2 linked regions of the Sus scrofa genome follow. The protein of the gene in region 2 interacts with the protein of the main gene of each other region in a pairwise test. Links are inferred from orthologs where the notes say so. Each region holds a gene or a part of one and is shown on either strand. Other genes may lie near its edges. The genes, in order: RPS26 and TSR2.

Evidence for each region.
Region 1: the proteins of TSR2 (region 2) and RPS26 interact in binary tests that used the Homo sapiens proteins (3 or more experiments, as listed by UniProt). The two-hybrid records come from large-scale screens. The link is inferred for Sus scrofa from reciprocal best matches to the Homo sapiens genes TSR2 and RPS26.

What each region holds. Positions count from the first base shown.
Region 1 is NC_010447.5:21,430,280-21,434,256, reverse strand, and holds RPS26 (40S ribosomal protein S26), read right to left. Parts: upstream 2,602-3,977; 5' UTR 2,578-2,601; coding exon 2,575-2,577; intron 2,315-2,574; coding exon 2,137-2,314; intron 1,038-2,136; coding exon 907-1,037; intron 672-906; coding exon 636-671; 3' UTR 566-635; downstream 1-565.
Region 2 is NC_010461.5:47,185,015-47,189,448, reverse strand, and holds the start of TSR2 (pre-rRNA-processing protein TSR2 homolog), read right to left. Parts: upstream 2,840-4,434; 5' UTR 2,363-2,839; coding exon 2,279-2,362; intron 2,113-2,278; coding exon 2,022-2,112; intron 1-2,021. UniProt on the Homo sapiens protein: May be involved in 20S pre-rRNA processing.

The sequences.
Region 1 (3,977 bases), on a different chromosome or scaffold from region 2:
AATATCTTCTTGTGGGACCCCCCCCAAGTTTCTAGAATACCTGGTGTCCTGGGCTTTTTTACTTGATAGAGAAAATCACTGCAGAAAGATGAAGGTTGGGTGAGAACTGGCTAACCAGCAAACCAATTCAAGGCAAAGAGGTGAATTAACGAAGTTAAGGATCTGGAATCAGATCCCATGAAGCTATTCAGGCCATAAACTTCCATTAAAGCCTTGTGTCCCCCACTAAAGATACTCACACCTAGATCAGTCTAAATTGCTTCCTGATGAGTTCCTCACAAAACTCCTTATCCTGTTCTTAGAACACCAGTTTACGCCAACATGCCAGGTTGAATTAACCTAATACAGATGCTTTAACTCCTCTCCCCCATAGCTATGCAAATTGGGGAGGTCAAAGACAGAAATGTAAGAGAAACACAGGAGTTGAGGTTTAACTTACATAACCACCCTGGCCTCCATGAAAAAGACTATGTGACACTCCAGAGTTCAATATGTGGTGAAGTTACAGTTCCTGTAACATACACAACCCCCATTATATCTGGCAACACACACTCAACATGCCATATTAAGTATAGTCTCCATTTTATTGTCTTTTTAAAGGATAGAATTCCTTCAGTCTCTAAGAACTCAGTTCCTTACATGGGCTTTGGTGGAGGTCGTGGGGCAGCACCCTGAAAGACAAAAAAAATGGAACAGTAAATTAAAGAGTCTCCCTTAAAGAACTTGACCACTGCCCTCCTACCACTAACAATGTATCTGGGCCATAAATGCATGGAAAACCAACACACATCAAAGATTACGCTACTCAATCTGAACCAGATTCTAACCACTTTTGATATTCCTTGAGTCCTCGTATGTGTCTTTCCCCCATCACCCCTCTGGCTCCCACACCTTTTACATACTCACCGCAGGTCTAAATCGGGGTGGAGGTGTTCTATCCTTCCGGGCTTCACGAGAACGATTCCTGACTACCTTGCTGTGAATGGCACAACTCACGCAATAATGTAGTTTCACATACAGCTTGGGAAGCACATAGGCTAAGAAACAGAAAATTTAGAGGTATGATATCATGTATTGCACACCCACCTCACGCAGTTCTTTCTTGTTCATTCTATCAGGCAAAAGTAAACATACCCAGGAGTTCCCTGGTGGCCCCGCAGGTTAGGGACCTGGAATTGTCACTGCTATGGTGCAGGTTCAACCCCTGGCCTGGGAAGTTCTCAAGTTCGGTCATTTTTGGGGGGGGGGGGGAGTAAACAGGAGTTCCCGTCGTGGCTCAGTGATTAACGAATCCGACTAGGAACCATAAGGTTGAAGGTTCGATCCCTGCCCCCTCTCAGCGGGTTAACGATCCGGTGTTGCCGTGAGCTGTGGTGTAGGTTGCAGAAGCGGCTTGCATCCCGTGTTGCTGTGGCTCTGGCGAAGGCTGGCAGCTACAGCTCTGATTCGACCCCTAGCCTCCATACACCGCAGGAGCAGCCCAAGAAATGGCAAAGAAACAAAAACAAAAAAGTAAACAAACTCATTTAGGCATATCTACAAGATTTCACTCCAAAGAGCTACTATTCACTTTCTGACACCTAAAAACATAGTTTCACGAATAAACACCCCCTTACTAACCCATCCTGTCATCATGGGAATCAAATTCACACCACAGATGTTATACCACCAAGAATCTAGTTTCTTCAACAATCACATCAGCCCTAACACCGTCCAGGGCCCCCGCCTAAAAAAGCTCACTGTCTCTAAAAAGAAAAACGATTAAAACAACATCATATTGCTCCAAAGATCACCCTCGTGAACCTAAGTAGACATGCTTCCTTTCTTAAATGACTCAGTGAGCACTACCACAAAAAGGCTCCCTCCCCAGACACAGCTCAAAGTGGCAAACGCAGCAAAGATTCAATTCTCTTCTACCGACAACCTTAAAAACACAAGGAGATTGCTCGGACACTACTACGACAAAGCCTGTGCACCGCACGGGTTGGCGGGGAGAGGTGGTTTTAGGTCTTAAAGTATGTATGTACAGCTTTCGGCCTCATGTGGAAGTTCCTCGGCCAGGGATCGAATACGCGCCACAAAAAAATTACACTTCTTAAATATTAAGATACCGATTCGCCCCGGGAGCTCACTCACCATCGAAAACGCTCGCTTCGGAAATGTCCCTGACCGCCGCGGCCTCTACAATGTTCCGAATAACGAACTTCTTAATGGCCTTATCCTTGGGCACGCATCGGGCACAGTTGGTGCAGCGAATAGGCTGCACGTGGCCGCGGCCCTTTTTGGCACGGCCATTATTCCTTCTTTTCTTGGTCTGCATCAGGATGAAAACACCATTAAGAAGGGCTCGCAACTTACCCAGCCTTAGACCCCTTCCGGCCACATTTCCCGCCGGCAACCACCAGAAGAGCCACTCAGATCTCCAGTCCCTCCGCAAACCCCCCCAAGCCTGGAACAAACATATGCTCTTTCCATTCCTTCACCGTAGTCCAGGTTTTAAAACCCCCACAATCTCATCTGGCTCACACTCAGCCTTCACCCGGCCCCAATCGTTCACCACGCGCCATAACTCACCATCTTGGAAGCGAAGACGCGAGAGAGGAAGTGGCCAACGGCTCGGCTCTCTTATATAGTGCGAGATCCCTCCGCTCACGCCGAGGGATTCCTCCTAGACGGCTCCTGGACGCACGCCAAGGACGGCAATCACCTTTATTCAAATGTTATTTATTATTCAGCGTTTCTGCTGAAATCTATGGTAGAAAGGTGTTTCTCGAGTTTATTTTTCCGTGGCACAAAGTGACCAAGGGACTATTTAACCTGCTGGCGGAAGAAAATTACGGTTATGTGTTTCCCAGCAACCTTTGCAACACCTTACCCCGGACGTAATTCTGGGCATTTATCTGTATTTTGCGACGCAAGGCGGGGAAGTTGCCCGGCGCAAGACCGCTTGTCACACTGCCTATTAGAGGTCGGAGGGGAAGAGATGCATGGTGGGAGTTGTAGTGCGGAGTTGGCAGTCCCCAGGCCCCAAGCCCTTAAACGGAAGGCGACATCACTCCACCGGCCACTGGGGGACGCTCTCTGCTCGTTTCTTTGGTGCATGACAGAAAAGGAAGATGTTGGGGGCGGGAGGCTGGGGGAAGAATAAAACATGTTATTAGTTCCTCCTTCTAATACTGAGAAAACCCAGCAGGGAGGAGTCATGGACAAGTGCATCGGTGCTAGGGCTATTTCTCATTCACCTTTTTGTTCCTGGATCTTGCAAACATAGTGCCAGGCACTGTAGTAAGCACTGTATAAATATTAACTCAGTTAACCCTCAACAAGTCTACAAGGAAGCTTCTAATATTATCCTTACATTACATGGGAATTCCCTAGAGGTTCAGGGATCCCACGACAGATTGAAAAACTGAGGAGTAGAGAGGTTAAAACTGAGGTTGCCCAAAGTTACAGGGAGCTAGTAAGAGGTTTCTTGGCTCCACTGTACTATGCTTTCTCTTACCTAAGAAACAAATAAGTGGATGGAGGTATAAGTTGGACTGGTGACCTAAATGATTTGACTTACACTCCTAGTAAAAATATATTTTACTTTGGTACTCAATACATATACAAATACAAATACACACACACACACACAAAACTGAAACAAAAATTTCATGAAACAAAGCCCTTATGACATAAGGTGCGCTGGTATTTTCTATTTTATTTTAATAAGTGTTCATCAATTCCCATTAAGGTGATTTCACCACTCATTGATGACTCTGGCCTCCTATTGAAATGTACCTTGTTATTTATGTTTAAGTTCCATTTACCTCTTTTTTTTTTTTCTTTCTTTCTTTTTTTTTTTCTTTTTAGGGCTGCACCCAAGGCATATGGAAGTTCCCAGGATGGGGTTGAATCAGAGCTGCAGCTACTGGTCTACACCACAGCCACAGCAACACGAGATCCAAGACTCCTCTGCAACCTACACTGCAGCT
Region 2 (4,434 bases):
CCCTACCACTCGAATATCCCCCAAATTTGTCTCCAATCCACACTACTCTCCACCTATTTAGAGGGTGCCTCAGACCCTCCTTTCCCAAAGCCAGATTCATCACCTTACCTTCCAAACCTACTTCTCAATCCTCCAGGGTTCTCCTATTCCATAAAAGGTATCTGAGCCACGCAACGACTCAAACCAGAAACCTGCCTCATGCCCCCCCCCACTCCTCTACAGCCAAACAATTTCCAAGATTCTAATCCACCCCTTCTTTTCCGTAACTATTGCCACTGCCTCATCATCTTCAAGACAGAAACAGTCTTCTCATCAGTTGTTCCCTCTCCAGTCCAAGCTCCATACTGACTACTTTTTTTTTTTTTTTTTTTTGTCTTTTTGCCTTTTCTTGGGCCGCTCCCACGGCATATGGAGGTTCCCAGGCTAGGGGTCGAATCGGAGCTGTAAACACTGGCCTACGCCAGAGCCACAGCAACTCGGGATCCGAGCTGTGTCTGCAACCTACACCACAGCTCACGGCAACGCCGGATTGTTAACCCACTGAGCAAGGGCAGGGACCGAACCCGCAACCTCATGGTTCCTAGTCGGATTTGTTAACCACTGCGCCACGACGGGAACCCCATACTGGCTACTTTCTATAGCCAGTAAACCCCATCCTATTAAATCCTGCTCATGAAGTTTTATCTCCTACTGCAGTGTTTCATATTCTGCTTATAAGACGTAACTGTCCTGCTGGACTTTAAGGGAAGCTATTCATAGAAAAATCATGGTAAACAAGTTTCTTTTTGGTGGTTCTTATCAGAACCTTTAATATGATAATGATTATGGTGACTCTTAAGAGCTGAAGAGCTTTTTTTATATCATGTGACTGGAGAAGTGGTTTCTTCACTGAACACCTAAAAAGAACTAGTCTTCCATAGCATATATTTTTGACAAATGCTGGCCTAAAGGATAAAATCAAAGGCCCACAAATCCTTCCATGTTTCACCCTTTTCCAGGGGCCTCCCCAACCAACCTCCAGCCTCATTCTCTATCACTCCCCCCTCCCACACCCCCACAAGCACACCATACAGCCCTACTCTAACACTGAGCTCCCTGCCACTTTCCAAATATAACACATAATCTCCTCATACCACAGAACTTATTTTTGAGTGTTGCTCTGCCTCTCCCACCTAGTTAACTCCTTCTCATCCCTTAAAACTCACCCAAAAGCCACCTTACCCTAACAATCTCCAAAAGAAGCCTCTTCCTCAGTCTCACATTACCCAAGCACCCTGAGATCTTTATTAGAACACCTACCACCCTGTGAGTAAAAACCTATTTACTTATCTAGATCCCTCACCAAATAATAAATTTTTTTCAGAGAAAGGTCTCTGCCTAATGCCATCTCCAAGGCCAAGAAAACTAAGTGAATAATTTAAAAAAAATCATACTTCACAAAAGATCACCTAAAGGGCCCCTATTCTTATAGAACCTACAAGACACATCAAAGGTGTAGATCTCTGCTGTCCAAATAATCAAATGTGGTTACTGAGCACTTAAAATGTGGCTAGGCCAAGACAAATTGGGATGTGATAAAACTGCAAAACACCCACCAGATTTTGAAAACTTAATACTAAAAAAAAATGTAATACATCTCGTTAATAATGTTTTATATTGATTACATGTTGAAATACTTTGGATATATTGAGTTGAACAATATTCATTTCACCTGCTTTTTATATCAAAGTGGTTGCTGAAAAATTTTTAATTACATGATGTGACTGGCATTATATTTCGATTTGGACAGCGCTGGTGGATACTTTCATATCCATGTTACAAATTAGGAAACTGAGTCTCAGGGGAGTAAAACGACATATCCAACGCGATACAAGGAGTCAATGGCATGGCCCTAAGGCACTCGAACTCAGGATTCAGACTCTGGTATCAGCAGACAATTGTTCAAGAGGAAGTGCAGATTCACCAAGACCGCCCTCCTCCCCGCGCCCCTAAACAAGTCCTAGGGCCTTAAATTCACTCACCATTGCGGAAGAAATACTCCTCCACTGCACCCCCTAGCCACTCAGCCTTCTCCTGGCTATGCACACCTCCAAAGCCGTTCTCCACAGCGATCTGCGAACACAGGCCCGAGCCCACCACGTCAGCCCAGGAACCGGCCTGCGGTGGCGCAAGGGTCCGCTTCTGACGCCGCCCAACCAACTAAGCCTTGGGCAGCTCACCGGCCAACTCCTGTTCTGGCCCGGTCCCTAACCTTTGTTCCAGCTGTGTCCTCGCTCACCTGCAAGGCGGGCCAAGCCTCCAACGCTGCGCGGATGCCAGCCCGGAAAAGCGTTAGAGACTCCTCTGCAGCGCCCGCCATCATCCTGCTGCGGACCACGTGACGCCCAAGCAGGCCAATCCCTGCGCAGCACCGCCCAGGCAGAAGGAGTAGGAAGCCAAGCTTGAGAACGCAGATTCTCCCTTTCCGCTGATCTGGCAGCAAGACTAGAGCAATAGAAAAGTCTGTCGAGTAATCGATGACACCGCCCGGGTTACTCAAGAAGTGGAAGACGCTTGGGGCCGAGAGTTCCGGACCCGTGGGTATTGCGCAGAAAAGATGTGAGGAACTTATTAAAGATAAAGGACAGAGGAAGCAACCTCAGGTAGCATAGCCTAAAAGTCTGCATTTAGAAATGCATCCTAGGAGTTCCATCTGTGGCTCAGCGGGTTAAGACCCCGACTCATCTCCATGAGGATGCGGCTTCAAGCCCTGGCTTCGCTCAGTGGGTTAAAGGATCTGGCGTTGCCGTGAGCTAAGGTGTAGGTCTCAGGCACAGTTTGGATACGGCGTTGCAGCTGCAACTCCAATTCGACCCCTAGCGGGGGAACCTCCATATGGTGTAGGTGTGGCCCTAAAAAATAAATTAATTGATTGATTAAATAAAATAAAAAAGAAATAAATAACAGAAAGACATTTGTGAAATTCACAAATAGGTGGGAATTAGTACACTTCTAAATAACTAATGGGTCAAAGAAAAAAAAATCGGAAGACGTCTTGAAATGACTTGAAACTAAAGCAGGGCAAGGACCAAAATTATGATCAGTGCTCAGGGTGAATCCACACTTTGAAGGGCCTGAGGCAGATAGAATTTTGTAAGCCCTCTTTAAGAAAAATAGTACAAATTTAGGTGTGCAAGTAAGTATAGCTTTAGATTTATAAAAGAAATTTTTAAATTTACAAATTCCAATTTTTTTTGGGGGGGGGAACATGCCTGTGACATGTGTTAGTTCCCAGGCTAGGGATCCAGCTGGCACCACAGCAGTAACCAGAGCCACAGCATTAACAATGCTGATCCTTAACCCACTGAGCCACTAGGGAATTCCTACAAATTCCAATTAAAAAAACCTGACAAATACCACAAACATCCTCAAAACTAGAGAAATAAAATAATTGCCTGACTCACCTCTCTACTAATTTTTCCTTTATTTTTTATTTTATTATTTTTTTTTGGCTGCCAACATTTTGATATCTTCCTGTAAATAAATAGGACAATTATTTTATAATAACATTTTCAAGAGAGAATAAAAAGAATTCAATTGCATTCAGTTGATCAAAATTTTTTATTATTGTAGTTTAGAAAAGTTTCAACTTCACAGCTCATTGTTAGTAGAATAAAATTTAAGATTGTGTTAAATTTGGGGAAACCTCTAGTTTCTTTTACATGTGAGCTATAAAATTTTATGGTACTTTGTTTTTGTGCAGCAATAATTGTCTCAAATTGACAATGCTCAACAACCAGGGGCTTGGAAGTGTCTTGTGTAAGTGTGAGTTACTAGAGGCTTAAACTTTTAGTTATATTATTTCTGTGATAAATCCATCTCTATGCAATGCTAGAGGAGAAAGGAGCACAGGAAGCTATGGGAGTCCAGCAGAGGGGGTTTCTGATCCAGCCTTGGGAATTATGGCAAATCTCTCAGAGATAATGCCTCTGACTTAAAAGTTTGAGTGGAATTTTCCCAGGGGATGAGGAGTTTGTGTATTTGAGGATAGAGGTATGTTTCTAAAAGAAAGAAAGTCTTTCATGCTGAGGAAACAATCTATACAAAGAAAAAGAATCAGGAAACAACATGCTGTTTGATGATAATTACAAGCATTCCCAGACTGATAATCTCAGGAGGCATAAACTCCTACAGAGCTCTAGAGATTCATTCCTGCAGACTCAGCAATTTAAATTTGAGTTCAAAGAAGCCCAAATAAAGAAACTGAGATTAAGCACTTCCCTGTGAGTTCCCAGGGCCTCAAACATACCTGGAGTAGGGAAGATTCTTATCACCAGTTGTAGGGTATATGTGTTGAGTTTTCCCACACCACCAAGCGATTCTTCAGTATCAACTGGGTGTCCTACAATTTAACTCAATTTTGATACTGAAACAGAAGGGAAGGGGGAAGGGCAC